Linked DNA regions of Schizosaccharomyces pombe. The gene in region 1 interacts genetically with each later gene. Each region holds a gene or a part of one and is shown on either strand. Other genes may lie near its edges.

Region 1 (7,819 bases):
ATACGAGTCTAAATGCTGTTTAACAAGTCCTTTTACCTTTAAAAATGCAGGTAAAAGCTGCCATTTGTCTTCAATGGTGGGAACAGGGTCTGCAAGCTTTTTGCCCTTATAAACAGGTTTAAAGAGGGCTCCAAAACTCTCATCCTTCCCAATTCCACCTTTATTTATTTTGGGTTGGCTTTTTTGAGGGTCTCCGGCAGTATTTACCCCCATCGAACTCACTTAGTTGATAATGGCGGACGGTAGCAAAATTCCTCCCCAAAAATATACTTATGGAGGAAGCGTTAGTAATGCAAGGATAGAGATTTCTTATTACTTTGGGCTTATTTTTTAAGTAACATATATAATTTTAAATAAAGAAATAAAACTTATACGCAATTAAGATTATTGAAGCTTAACTATTTACCACTTTATTCTACGTACAAAAATTATTTCGTTGATGAAAATCTATACCATAGAAAGCAACTTCAAATCTGTTTATATAAGTTTTGAAGAGTCTGCGACGCACAGACAGAGGAATTTTGTATAACTGAACAAGAACTAAATTAAAATGTGTGGAAACTTAAGATGGTACTCGTACGCGACTTACTGCTGGCTATTTAATAGCAAGGATTAATGCATTTAGTTCAAAATATTTGTAACAAAAAAATATCCAAATGGTACACAGAAAGAATAAAAATAACAAAAGAATGGGCTACAAAAAATATAATCAATCCAAATGGATACCGGCATATTCATCGTAACCACAGGACAGATTGAGATTCTGGAGAGCTTGAGTAGCAGCACCTTTAAGTAAATTGTCGATAGTAACTACAATGACTGCACGCTTTCCAGAAGAGTGCACACCAAAACCACCAACTGAAACATGATGCTTGTGTGCGTTGTCCTTGACCAAAGGTACATCTCCTTGAACATGAATTAAAGGCTCACCATTATAACGGTCTTGGTATAAGTTACGAAGCTCACGGGAAGTTATACTTTTCTTTAACGGAACATTAATAGTTAAAGTAATTCCTTGGAACCATTGAGCAACGTGAGGAATAAAGGCGACAGGTTGCTTTAAACGATAAGAAATTTCACGTTCATGGATGTGATCAGTTAATGAGTAAGGTATCAAATTGTTTGTCAATACATTCAAGTCATTCTTCGGAGAGGGCTTAGTGCCAGCCCCAGAATAACCAGATACACCAAAAATAGAGGGCTGGCCGTCAATCAAAGAGAGTATGGGAGTTAAACCGACTTGCGATCCAGTAGCGTAACAACCAGGATTGGAAATACGTTTCGAGTTACGCAAAGCTTCACGGTCATTTAGTTCAGGAAGACCGTACTGCCACGAGGGCTCAAAACGGTAGTCCGCACTTAAATCAACAATGACACTTTTACCATTTGCAGACGTTAAAGCATCGACATAAGGTTTGCATACACCGTTGGGTAGGGCCATGACCCAAGCATCAACCGCTCCCTCTTCCTCTAATTTTTTAACATCATCTGTGGACAAGTTGACATACTGAATTTCTTTCTTAGTGTAGCCAGGAAGTTTGGTGCCTTCCAACTCACGAGAAGAAACATGAGATAATTCGAGATAAGGATGAGTGTTAATCAATCCAATCAAGTTCTTTCCGGTATAACCACGGGCTCCAAGGAGAACGACTTTTGCTGGCTTCGATGAGACCGCCTTCAAAGGTTTTTGGGTCTTCTGAGCCTCAGCAGAAAAAAATCGTTTTCCACCCTTTAAAAACAAAGAACGATTCATTTTTTTGTTTTTTGAAAATAAAGAACTAGTTGAGTAACTTCGTTTTTGATTGATCTGTGAAGAGGAAGGGTTGTTGGTGGTAGATGAAGCAGTAGGGGGTTTAGTGGATTGGGTCTGAATGATAGCATCGGCAAATGGCTTGTCAGACTGAATGAACTTGGAGATTTTATTCAAATCTTTTACACCGTACCAAAAGTAGTAAAAATTATTAGCAAACAAAGTACCTTCGCTTTTAGAGAAGAACCATTCCAGATTCTTGGCTGAAGGTTGAAGACGCCATAGCAAAGAAGGGAAGTCTGCTTTTAATGTTGTTAATATGCTATCAACAACATTGTTTAACCAATTATTGTCGGCGGCACCAAAAGCTAAGAGTACTGGCAAGGATGAGTCGGTGGTGTCGACAATAGCAACAGATTCATTGAAAGAGTCACTATAAATACGAAGTTTTCTGTCTTTCAGAGTATCCTTGAACTGTTTCAAGCTTTCACTAGGTGCGGCTAAAGAATTTTTTTGAATGATCAAATTTTCTAGAGCAGCGTCTGGAATGCTATCCAACGAGTCATGTTTGTTGATGACAAAACCGCGACTAATCAAAGTACCAGCGCCAGATTCCGTAAAAAGCTCTTTTTGCAAATCCTTCGTACTAATAATGGCTACGGAAGATGTACGGGGAAGAGTATCAAGTAACTCTTTGATTTCTTTGATTTTGAGCTTCGTACCATACTTGACCCATGGTTGCTTCATGAGGCCATCGTACTCCCTATCCAAATAGATGCTGCTAATTTTTTTCTTTGTTTCACCGTTGATAAGTCCACCTTTTTCATTGAGATAGACCACCTTTAGAGGCTTCAATACGCGAGCAAGCTCACCAGCAGTAATGTCGGCGTTGACATTCAACAATTGACCAGAAGCAGTTTCGGCCATAGACGTAAGAATAGGGAGGGTTCCAGCACGAATACTGTGTTCAATAGGAGCTTTGTTTACCTTGACAATCTTGCCAACATACTTGTATTTTTCTTTGTCGAGATACTCTGCCTGAAATACACCACCTGTAATGGGACGAGCACGAGTTCCCAACTTTTCCAAAGCATCTACAAGTTTCGCATTTTCCTCTAAGAAAACTTTACGAGCTACAGAAAGAGTCTCGGCATCGGTGATTCGAATACCATCGCTATACTCGGGTTCAACATTTCTGCTGGCAAGAATTTTGTTTAATTGGGGACCAGCGCCATGCACAACGATGGGATAAAGACCCACATGATTCAAAAAGGCAAGACTTTGTGCCAATGTGTCTAATTCGTCGGTGATAATGGCACCACCAACCTTGATAATAGCGAAACGTTGAGCTTCGAAGGAAGTAAAGTATCGTAGGTATTGCTCAACTTCACGACGGCTTCCGATGGAGGAAAGAATTCTAATGATGGCATCACGATCTTGTTCAATTGGTTTCGCGAGTGGGTTTAACGGTTGTTGTTGACCCGGGGCAAAACTGCCTTGAAAACGTTTGCTTGCAATGACTGATGCATTGGAACATAGTAAGCTCCTTTTCGTACAGTGTTTCGCTCCATTCCGTACAAGACCGGACTTGACAATTTGTTGCAATTCAATAAGCATTGCCAAATTCTAGTGATATTCTATGATTTACTGTAGTTGGTAGAAGGCAGTTTGGTTGGTTTCAAAATTGGAAAATCATTTGCTTCGTAAACGTAGCTATAATTCGTTAAAATTTGATTGCTGTATCTAGGGATTTGCTCTGGAGATAATCACTCAAAAAGATGAGATCGATAATGTTACTTGTTGGCTGAAAATTACATCGGAAACCAACAGTTTACATGAAAGTGCTGCAAACGTGAGACATGGACATTTAATGAATTAAAGCTATATAAATGACACTGTAAAAGCAACTCATTTGCCGACAATGAATCTATTTGTATATACATTATTTAATACTAGTCCTAACTGACACAGTACAATATTCATTATTTCTATGCAAGCCAGTTCAATATCTTGATTTATACATGAAAGCATTCTTTTGAAACAATATTTTGTTTTCTATTTGATTTCGCGTTGAATAGTCCCAATGACCCTGATGAGACAAAAGCACTTATCATAAAATTTATTATCTAAGATAATCTCGTTAAAAAAAAAAAAAAAAAAAAAAAAAAAAAAAATTTGGCAAGAAGCCCTTCTCTTTCGTTAAAACTTGTTTCGCTTTATGCAATACTGTAAGTGTAAGCTTGTAATATAGCGAATCTGTGAACTCATTGTTCATTTCATGGTAGTTGTTGATTTCACAAGCATGCTGAGTTATCAATATAGTAACACAATTGGTTTTATTTCAGCTCGCTTGAATATAGTGTCAAGAGATAATTGAATAAACAAAAAAAATAACTACACGTTTTTTAGATACATTTTATTTACAATGTATTGGTTCTTTAAAGAATGGGTGGTAAATAAAAAAAATATTACAAGGTCGAAAAAAATTCATCCCTTTTCATTAGTTCTATAATTAAATGCTAAACCCATGAATATTCTTTTACTGCTAATCAATTAACGATTTTGGTATTTAAAAGCTATTGCTGATAAGTATTCTGACGTTCTGTATCAATATTACCATGAATAACATAAGAAAAAGAAAGGAAATAGAATGTTTATGAGTAGTTTTTAATTTTTGACTTGTTTTATCATATTTCATCAACGTACTAGCTTGTTTGCAACTGAACTCTAGTGTACGATAATGTAAAAATTTTCCATCTCGTCGAAAATCCGCATACGATATATTACGGCGCCAATCTCGCAGTCTGAGAGAGAACTAGATATCGGCTATATGCAATCTCACCCTGAATATCTAAGAAATTACCAGTAACTTGTGGGTTCCTTGTAGTCGACTACAAAAACCGTATTTTTGATATATTTAGTCGAGAAGAATTATTCAGTTTGCAATTGAAAATGTCTTTCAAAAAATTTCCTCGTCATTTACTATCCATTCGTGATCTTAGTCGCGGAGAGATTGTAAAGTTGATCGATCGGTCTTCTGAAATTAAACAAGCTTATAAGCAGAATTTTCAGAATCGCCGTTCTGTTCAAATGAGTGGTTTGTCGTCTCAGAATGTCGCCATGATCTTCAGTAAGCGTAGCACTCGTACTCGTGTATCAGTCGAAAGTGCTGTCAGTTGCCTTGGCGGCAATGCCATGTTTTTAGGTAAAGATGATATCCAATTAGGAGTGAATGAGTCTTTATACGATACTTCAAAAGTTATATCAAGTATGGTTTCTGGTATTGTTGCTCGCGTAAACAAATATTCAGATGTTGCTACGCTCGCTAAACATGCCTCTTGTCCTGTTATTAATGGTCTTTGTGACACGTTTCATCCTCTCCAGGCGTTAGCAGATTTACTCACTATTAAGGAAACTTTCAAAAGCTTTGACGGTTTAAAAGTTGCATGGGTAGGTGATGCCAATAACGTTTTACATGATTTGATGATTGCAAATGCCAAGGTTGGTATTCATACTAGCGTTGCTAAGCCCAAGGACGTCAACGTTCGCGACGATATTTTATCAATCGTTAACGAAGCTGCGAACGAAAACGGTTCTACTTTTGAAATTGTTAACGACCCCAAGGTTGCTGTTAAAAATGCTGATATCGTCGTTACCGACACTTGGATTTCTATGGGTCAAGAAGCTGAGAAGGAACAACGTCTTAAACAATTTACAGGATTCCAAGTCACCGGAGAGATCATGAAGCTTGCCAAACCTAGCTGCAAATTCATGCATTGTTTACCCCGTCATCCCGAGGAAGTGTCTGACGAGGTATTTTATGGAGAGAACAGTTTAGTTTTCCAAGAAGCAGAGAACCGCAAATGGACCACTGTTGCTGTCTTGGAGGCTTTGCTTGTCAACCGTGGTGAAATTCTTCCTCCTGCCTCAGCCTAAACTGAAATCCTTAATTTCATTTTTATCTGGGGAATGTGCAAACAATGCCAACTTTATAATTTTTTTTATTGGGCGTGCAAATTGTGATATTCATTTTTGAAATTTTATGTACTTTGTTTCACAAAAAGAAAATTGACTTTTGAGAAAATTTTTTAATTGACAATTACTTTTCAGATTTTTTATGCGCAGGACACAGGCTTCTAAAGACGTACTTATACGTTAAAAAAGGGGATGGATCAATTTGGCTCATTAGTCCAACAAGCTTTGTGTAAAATTATTACCCGCTTAATGCTATCCTCTTAACTAGATATTTCAAGGTATCAAGCAATCATAGTATTAAGCACTATTATATGCAAAATACAATTTAAAATTAATAGAAACTACAAATAAGCGCAACACTCATAAGGAAAAAGCTTTGGGACAATAAAGCTTTCGTCAATGCGGAATCTACGACAGAAAGAAAACTTAGTGTAGGCATCGAAATTTATTATATTTCAAGCATGTATGCTAGTAAAATAAAACGTAAACTCATTGATTCAAGAAATCTATAGAAAAAAAAGATCTGGGCAAGTAGAGTGTGCATCATCGAAATCCGGCTTCTTTCATAAACTTATCGTATTGCTCTTTAAGTGCTTTGCTTTTATCAATAAATGGCTTTTTCTTGTCTTCCGCCAATTCCTTCCACGCCTTTGATGCATTTTGGGTCTCTTCAACGAGTGTGGAAATGGCTTCTGGAATACCTAACTCTTGACGTAGCTTGGGATTGTTTCGAAGCTCCTTGTAAAAGAGGATAAAAGCAGAAGAAGGTTTTTTAGGAACATCTGGATGACGAAGTCTGTAATAGCGACTGCCCGTGCTGTGAGCCTCCTTCGAGCGACGACGATTTTCACTATCGATTTCTGTAGGTGTAAAGGATCGTAGAGTCTCCATAAAACGCTTTTTCTCAGCATCGAACTGCTCCTGGAGTTTGTTTTTATACTTTTGGATCTCATCGGCAGTCAAAGCTTTGTATTTTTGACGAATCATCTCAAAGCGCTCAGGACCATTACCAGCACCTTTTGTTTCAACCAACATTTGATTCCAAATGGTTTTCAGCCTAGGGGGGATCAACTTCTGTAATCCATTCTTTTCGGCAGAAACGAGAGTAGTGTGAAACTGGCGTATTCTAATTGCAAATACCATTTTGTGAAAAATGATCAAAGATAATGGTGCTTGGTAAGTTAGGTAAGGAGGCATTGCGTCAAACAGACGCATTCAAGTACTGAGTAAATATCGGGTACGTAATATTGTACAACAGACAAATGAGTAGTAAAAAGACGGTTTACTCAATTTTTAATAGCATAGAATAAAGGCGTTAAAAGCAGTTTGTTTGTTTCTTGTAACCACAAAGGTAGTTTCTTTTTCTAAGTGAAACACTTCGACATTCAACATAACAAAGCGTTGGTCCACAGAATCAAAAAGGTACTCCAAAATGAAAAGGAAACAAACGCATCTTCATCTCTTGAGCAACAAAACAGCACTCATTTCTATACTTTTTCCAACCTTCCTTATATACCGTACCTCCCAGCACTCTCATATTCATTACTCACCATAGACTATATTGTAGCTGTGTATTTAGTATAAAAATGTTTCAGTGGAATCGTTGCTATTCACTATTCATTACAGTGTATTCTTTCAGCACGTTATTTTAATTTAATAAACCGAAATAACATGCCCCGGTTCTTCTTTTGTCATATTGGCATCTTGGGTTACTGAAGAGATGGGGTATACGTTGCTTCAATCTCATTAGTTCTAGAGCCCCTCTATACCCCGATTTCTAAACGTCAATCCAACTTAGTTTTAAGGCTGTCGGCCTAATTTAAAGTTCCTTTCTACAGCTACAAAATTTGTATTAAAGGGACGAGAAGCCCCCGGGTATTTGTTTGTTTTTAATAACATCTAGTGTGTATTAACTTTTCTTGGCTGTGTTTAACCAAGTCGTAAGTGTCTGCATTTTTTCGGTATTTCTTGCCGCTTACCACAAACTATAGTACCTTTGAAAAGTTGGCTGTTTTCCAGTAAATTTGCATCGCTTTGTCCGAGAAAGGAGCCTTTTAGCGCCATTTTGACAAAGCTTGTTTAAAACATCTCGTT
Region 2 (7,213 bases), on another chromosome or scaffold:
CGTGTGCTAATGTTACGAATATGGATAGATATTGATGATGATGGAATGTTTGATTTTGATGAATTTGCAATTGCTATGAAAATCACCTTTGATTTGATTAATGGGGTATGAAACCACTTACTTTACTCATGAATGAACCTGTGAAGCATGGATTAAATAAATGTAAAAAGATGGAATAAGATATGAATGATTTAAGAAGACGGCGCTTGCGTAAAGCCTTCATTTTTTCTTTTATCCCTTCCACTTGTTTGATTGTTTTTATTGTGAAAGGCTACCTTTGGTTTTTAGGGTTTCTTTTTTTGTCTATTTTCATCATTTCTAACCATTAGGTTTACAAAACCGTTCCAGATAGAGTACCCGAGGCGTTGGTGTCTACTTCCAAAAAGCATTTAGTAGCAGCTCGAGATGCTCTTCGTGGAAATGATGATATTGCTCTCTTACACAAAGTACCTTCGCTTGATACCGACCCGGAAGATGCCGTTTTAAAAGATGGATTTGATTGGTACATTTCTCCATCCGATAAAATTCGATATTCCGATATTTACTCCCTACATTGCAATAAACACGGAGAAGTATCTTTTAATGGCCTGGCACCTGTATTTACTCCTTTTGGGGTTCCCAACTCTCAAATTCAGAAGGCTTGGAAACTTGTCAATCCTCAGGGTACTGAAACCATACAGAAAGATCAGTGTTTAGTATTTTTGCACATCCTTACTCAGAGATCCAACGGATTCCGTATTCCTAATGATGTCCCGTACAGTTTAAAGGCTAGTTTTAAGAGAGGAAATATCGATTATAATTTAGATTCCTACAACTCTACTAATAACTATTACTCTTCACCTACAATGGCTCCATCTACGGGTGGTGCGAAGCCGAAGAGTGATCTTGATGCCCCGAGGGATGTGAGAGACTCTGACTGGGAGCTGATTTCATTAAGAAATGAGCTGTCCAAATTGGACGAAAAGATTCTTTCCCTTCAACGTGAAACTGACGATGTTAACATTGCACAAAATAAGTCAAAGCTTATTCAACGTGATTTACAGAAAGTACTTGACTATAAGTTGGGTATCCTTCAATCTCTAAAAAATGATGGACCAAATGGCCCCAGCGCTTCCGCCATTGATAATGACTTAAAAATGCTGGAACAACAACTTAATGTTTTGGGACGTCACTTGGAAGGTCGGAAGTCTCAAGTGGCTAAGCTAGAGGAAAGGCTTCGTAGTCTGTCTTAACAAAATCTCGTTTATAAAGCTCATCATCTCAAATACTTGAGTCTTTGGATGTTTTCTTGGAAAATCGACGAAGGTACACTCTTTCTTTCTTTCTTTATTGGGCTTAATAAACTGTTCAAACAGGAAGAGGGAATTGGATTGTAAAATCATTCATTAATGTCCATCATTATATTTTTTGGTTTAATCGATACAAAACTTTTGAATTAGTATAAAAGGAGGAACTTATTCAGCTTTTATAATAAATACTCACTCTCTTTTTATAACAATCTAAAACCTCCTTGAGGTAAATTTATTACCCTGCTGTTAAGAAGAAACACAAGCGAATTCAGAACTATCAACTGGGTAAGAAGAAAAGATAATATAATAAAAACAACAAGCTTCGATTTATAATCTTCTTTTTCTAAAAAAAGTGCACACTATAATGTCTCCCAAAGCCTTCGTAACTCATACGCGTTTCATGAAAAGGATACATCCACAATCCTATTGTTCGTAAGGAGAAAAAATTGAAGAATTTATGCAAAAGAAAGCTCCCTTGTGATTAATATCGTTTACGGTTTAAGGACGACGCTTTGAAAACAACCGTTTTGATGCCCAACCTACAAGAGCTGCAACTGACACCACTGCACCAGCTACCACAACCATTCCAATGTATCCTTCTAAAAACGGGTTAGTAATGATTCTTTTCATTATTTATAACGCATCTTTCTAACATAAACACAACATTCATGCATATGTGATACCTCATTAAGTTTTATTAAAATAAACATACCTTTTGTAACAGCATCGTAAAGACGGTTTTTTAGCTTTAAAGCCTCTGGGCTATTTGGATCTTTGGATAACAACATATTGAGATAACGACGGGATTCTTCATACTGCTTCAATTTGTAATGGGACAAAGCAATGTAGTAGAGGCATTCCAAACGCCTTTCCGGTGAATCTTTGTAAATGCTGCAGAACAAAGATAATCCCTGTTGTACATGCTGTGTAGAATCTGAGCGTACCAATGCCCAAGCAAGGTTAAATTTGGTTTGTAAAGTAATCAGAGGTTGTTCTGCATCGTATTGTTCCTTGATTTGTAGAAACTCATCAACAGAAATAATTGAATCAATAGCAGAAGGATCAGCGAGGCGAAGGGTGTGTTTTTCAGTCATGATGTCGTTATTGCTTCCTATATTGGTCTTTGAATGTGCCTTAATTATTTTAAAGGCGGATTAATATAAATAAACGGAAAATGTTGAAAAAACTACAGTCACTTGAAAAAAAATTCAACAACTCAAATATAAAAGAAGAAAAAAAGGGTTGAGTATGATGCAAAAATGCTAAATTATCAATGTAAACAGCCAATTCCAATTATAAAGGATTTGAGGCGCAAATGAGTGAACTACAAGGATAATGGATTTCCAAAGCAATAGAAAAGTCCAGAAATCCGATTTAGTAAGAATATGGATATGCTTTTTCCACAAAAATTTGAAACAGAGAAGGAATGAAATGAAGATTCGTTTGTGAACGCCATCGCCAACAATTTATGTAAGGAAGAACTTAAGGATATGGCAAAACATTTCACAAAATATTTATTACAAATTGTGGCGTATTATGTAATTCACATTTGCGAAACGTACCGATAATAAAAGCAGTGTAAAGTAGCTTGTAACATGCCAGCTTTGTACTTAAGGCCTAACCAACATTTTGCCTAAGACTTGATATACTTGTAAAGGTGGTATATTCAAATATATTGAAAAAGTTCTTGATTTGTCTATAAAAAAAGTATTAAAAGGACTATTCTTTGTACCATAATTTTGGAAAGAGCAATTCAATCCAAAAAAAATAAGTTCTTGAGATATACCCAAGTTTCCTTTAAATAATGCAAAATGTACGTATTTCATCATTGAGAAGAGAATTATTTTGTTAGGAATTTCCCTCTTTTTAACTGTGTTACATGGTAAACTAATGAGCTTTGGGCATATTAGTTAGCTAGTCAAATACAAGAGAAAGCGGTTGATTCACAGCAACAACTGAGGACCATAATGGTACAGATTGCTGCCAAGGAACGGGCACTAAAAATAAGTGAATTAGCCAAAAAAGAGTTAGAGGATGTTGGAGAAGATAAGGCCGTATATACTTCTCTTGGAAAGATGTAAGTGTCATAAAATGAAACATGTATTTTTATTTTCTTTTCTATAAAAATAGGGAAAGAATACGGAATTAGCAAAAACAGCACTTTTGGAATGGAATTGACCGTACTGTCAATCTATATGTAAAGTCATTTACTAACTGTTTATTTACAGGTTTATGAAATCCGATTTGGCTTCCGTACGTACACATTTGGACGCAGAAATGGCAAGTTTAAGAGAAGATATTGAAGCACTACAAAAGAAACAAACATATCACGAAACAACGGCCTCAAATGCTGAGCAGCATTTACAAAAGATAAAAGAGTCGATTTCTTAAAACATCAATTATAATCATCTCATTGGTAAATTGGATTATGGGATTGGAAAGTTTATGACTTTCTTTTTTATCTTTAAAACTGTAGAATTAAAGTAAATTTGTTCCATTAATCTTCTTGCATTTCTAACAAATACTGGGGCATTTGTGAGCCGAAATTTTGATCACTGTGACTGCGCTTTTGTGTATGGATACTTAAATTTCAAGCTTGAAGACTTGTGAATTTAGTATATGTTATACTTTTAAGGTAAGTTTTCTACTGTTAGAATTGACGTTTGGAAAAGTAAATGGAGAAAGGATTTCTTTGATGATTCCAAAAAAGCATAGTTCAACTGAGCATCGTATGCTGAAACTTTTTCCATCTGATTTGCACGTCAGTCTGAGATTTCTCGTTCCCTTTTGTTTCTTTCTTTTTCAACGTCTGTTTGTCTGACTTTTGTGTTGGCTGTTTTACTGACCCATACTTTAAGGTGTTCTATATTTTTTCAAGGATATCATTAACTGTGTGGAAGCTGTTTTGTTCTCCATTAACTTCTGATTTCTTTTTGAGAGATGCACAAGGAATAGTTTATAGCTTACTTATAGTTTATGAATAAAATTATCCGAAACGAACTGTCACTAATCATTGTTTAACAAAGTATGTAGTAATGTATTAATATTAACTATGGCGACAATATTAGGACTTGAAGGTCTCTCATATCAGATGTTTGTTTCTGAATTAAAATAATAATTCTATATACGAATTGTGAAGTTGCCGTTAAATTATGATGGTAATTTGCTGTAGTTCTAGTTAAAGTCATTAATGTAGATCCTGCAGTTCAACTTTTTGATAAGATCTGCAGACAACTTTATATACAATAAATTTAGCTAAATAAAAGCAAAAAGGATTAAACACCATCGGTAAAAAAAAATAACTTTATTAGTTTATGGTCTATTGTACCCATACACTGATCAAGAAGTAATTTAAACATATAACATAAATTTTCACCTATGAAAGCAGTCTAATAAACACAAAATAACATTACTAATTATATGCCAAGAAGTTTAAAAAAAATTTAAAACAAAAAAAAAAAGAAAAACTGAACAATGGAACCTCAAATGTCGAGACTCATGATACTAATAAAAAATTTAATACTTAATTTATAAAATAGCATAACACACAACCAAGGTGTTTAGATGGTTTAAAGGAAGCAAAGGTAACTAGCGTTCACAGCGCAAATATTGGGTTAGGGCTTGGTCATAGGAGTTAACGGCCCTATTGAAAATGCCGGTGTGGTGGTGGAATAGGAAGACGACGCCGACTTTGTGGATGAAGAAGGAGATGGCGGTGATCCGGCCAAAAGGTTGCTGACACTCACACGCGAAGAAGAGGAGAACTTGCGTGATCGTCGATTCGATGATATACGGACTGGACCAACATTCGACTGGGATGCAGGTTTGTGAGGCATGCTGCTATTAACGTTGGAGAGCGAGCTCAGAGAGACGGACGATGGAGTACGAGAGACAGCACCAGAGGCTGGTGTAGACGCGGAAAAGGCGTTAGGATCACACTTCAAAGGAGGAATTAACGGAACTTGAGAAGGTCGTAGAGAAAGCGAGCGGATAGAAGGTAATTGAACGCAAGATGGATCATCCATGGGTCTCAAACGAGGAGAATGTGCCGGTGTAACGAGAGGTGTGACGTCTGGGGTGGGACTAAAGCTCCTAGTGGAAAAGGTAGGACTACTCGGTGCAGTGCTGCAGGGGGAAACCGGGCGAGAGCGACGCTGGTATCGGAAATGGGCAAAATCACTTGACGAAGAATCATCATCAAAGCCATTGGATACGCTGGGTCGAGAATAAGGCAAATAGTTGTAATGGGCATAACGTAAAGACTGAGGAGCGTAAGCCGTAGTACCAACGCCATACATTGAATGAAGGCTAGTACTACTGTTAGATTTGCTAGGCAGATAGGGAGTCTGCATAGACGAATTACTATATAAAGAGTTGCTCGAGCCATTAGTATACTTTGTAAATGAACCAGTGGATGAGTTAGAAGTTAAGCCTCTATTGGGAACCGATGCGAGATGATTAGGAGAAGTATTGGATGATGATGGCAGACTACCTACTACATTCATCTGCTTCGGTGGGGAAGGAGCATTAGATAAAGGCATTAAATTAACACCCGAAGACTTTGTAGGAGTGATTCTAGGGGCAGCATCCAATTGATTAGCAGCCGCTGAAGCCAACAATTGCATCTCGTTCATGGACGACAATCTGGAATCGGGTTCCGAGCGTTGAGAAACAGCACCCGGAGGGGTACCCGTAACATGGATTGTAGTACCATTTTGAGTGGTATGAAGGGCATCGGGAATACCGTAGATAGTGGCAGGTTGAGCTTGAGCGGGTAGGTTGTGAGGCTGTCCATTACTAACGAAAGTAGCTTGTTGTTGTTGCACTGAAGCCGAGTAATGGTGAGGATAACTCATGGAAACGGCGGCAGTGGCGACGGGAGGTGCAACCGACATGCCAACTTGAGGAATGAACACGGGGTAGGAAGGATTCACATTAGGATTCATTGAAGCATTGGTCATATGCACACCAGCATTGTTTGTAGATGGTTCTAAATTGCCAGCAGGAGAATTGGAGCTTCTAGCAGAATTATTAGCGGCAGCGGCAGCAGCAGCGTTCCTTCTAGAGTTTGCATTTGTATGGATGCGTGCATGTCTCGTCAATTCATCGCTACGAGAGAATCGTTTGGCACACCCAGGAAAAGTACAAACATGAGGCTTTTCACCCGTATGCGTTCGAATATGACGGGTTTGATGCTCTAAACGATAGAAGGCCTTGGTGCATAGTGGGCATTTGTAAGGACGAGGAGCGTCAGGATTCTTGGTAGAGCGGGATGGCTTACCGGTTGTTGTGGCAGTGGTGGCTTCGGACATGACGAAGTAATAAACAGAGCACGGCAAAGAAGGAGAAGTAAAAAAAGAGAAGAAAAAAATAGCACGAGTAAGGGTAGTATTTAATAAAAAATAGCTTATTTCACCCAAGAAAGAGAAAGAAACGACCGTTTAAAGAAAAAAATGAATAATAATAATAATAATAATAGTAATAGTGAAGATAATAAAAAAAAATCGCTGGAAGAGAAAAAAAAGAAGATTAGAGGAATTCTAGTTAATAACGAGAAGAAATTTCAACGATGAGAGAGGATTGGAAAAAATAAAATTCAAAGTTATATAGTTGAATGCTTCAAAGGAGCCCAAACGAAAGTTCCAAAGATTACGAAAACAACTTGGGAAAAAAATAACTTTGTAAATAATAATAAAAAGAATTGAAGTAAAAAAGAGGAATAAGCAGGATCCTTTGTTGGACAGATGAGAGCCAAAAAAGGAAAATGTTTACGAGGAGGAAGGCAATGTAAACGAAGAAGAGAGATTGATAGAAAATGCCAATGAAGGAACCAATGAAAAGGAAAACAATATAACAAGATCACCTATATATAATAATAGATAAAATAGATATAGATATGGCGGATGGGAAGAAAGCTTCTAAAG

Evidence for each region.
Region 2: mutations in arg3 (region 1) and pfd1 together harm fitness more than expected from each alone (negative genetic interaction), as found in Schizosaccharomyces pombe (one large-scale study listed by BioGRID).

Annotation. Positions count from the first base shown.
Region 1 is NC_003424.3:2,269,310-2,277,128, forward strand, and holds arg3 (ornithine carbamoyltransferase Arg3), read left to right. Parts: upstream 1-4,611; 5' UTR 4,612-4,702; coding exon 4,703-5,686; 3' UTR 5,687-6,207; downstream 6,208-7,819. Other genes in the region: DNA-directed RNA polymerase III complex subunit Rpc2, read right to left, coding at 1-213; arg11 (N-acetyl-gamma-glutamyl-phosphate reductase/acetylglutamate kinase), read right to left, coding at 710-3,367; cmb1 (cytosine-mismatch-binding protein 1), read right to left, coding at 6,269-6,868. UniProt on the Schizosaccharomyces pombe protein: Ornithine carbamoyltransferase involved in the synthesis of arginine from glutamate via ornithine and the urea cycle.
Region 2 is NC_003423.3:1,752,977-1,760,189, reverse strand, and holds pfd1 (prefoldin subunit 1), read left to right. Parts: upstream 1-2,931; 5' UTR 2,932-3,093; coding exon 3,094-3,102; exon of another isoform or gene 3,103-3,199; coding exon 3,200-3,366; exon of another isoform or gene 3,367-3,517; coding exon 3,518-3,680; 3' UTR 3,681-3,924; intron 3,925-3,967; exon of another isoform or gene 3,968-4,068; intron 4,069-4,147; 3' UTR 4,148-4,289; downstream 4,290-7,213. Other genes in the region: actin cortical patch component End3, read left to right, coding at 29-105, 330-1,232; protein Fis1, read right to left, coding at 1,788-1,888, 2,002-2,383; DNA-binding transcription repressor, glucose sensing, Scr1, read right to left, coding at 4,904-6,601.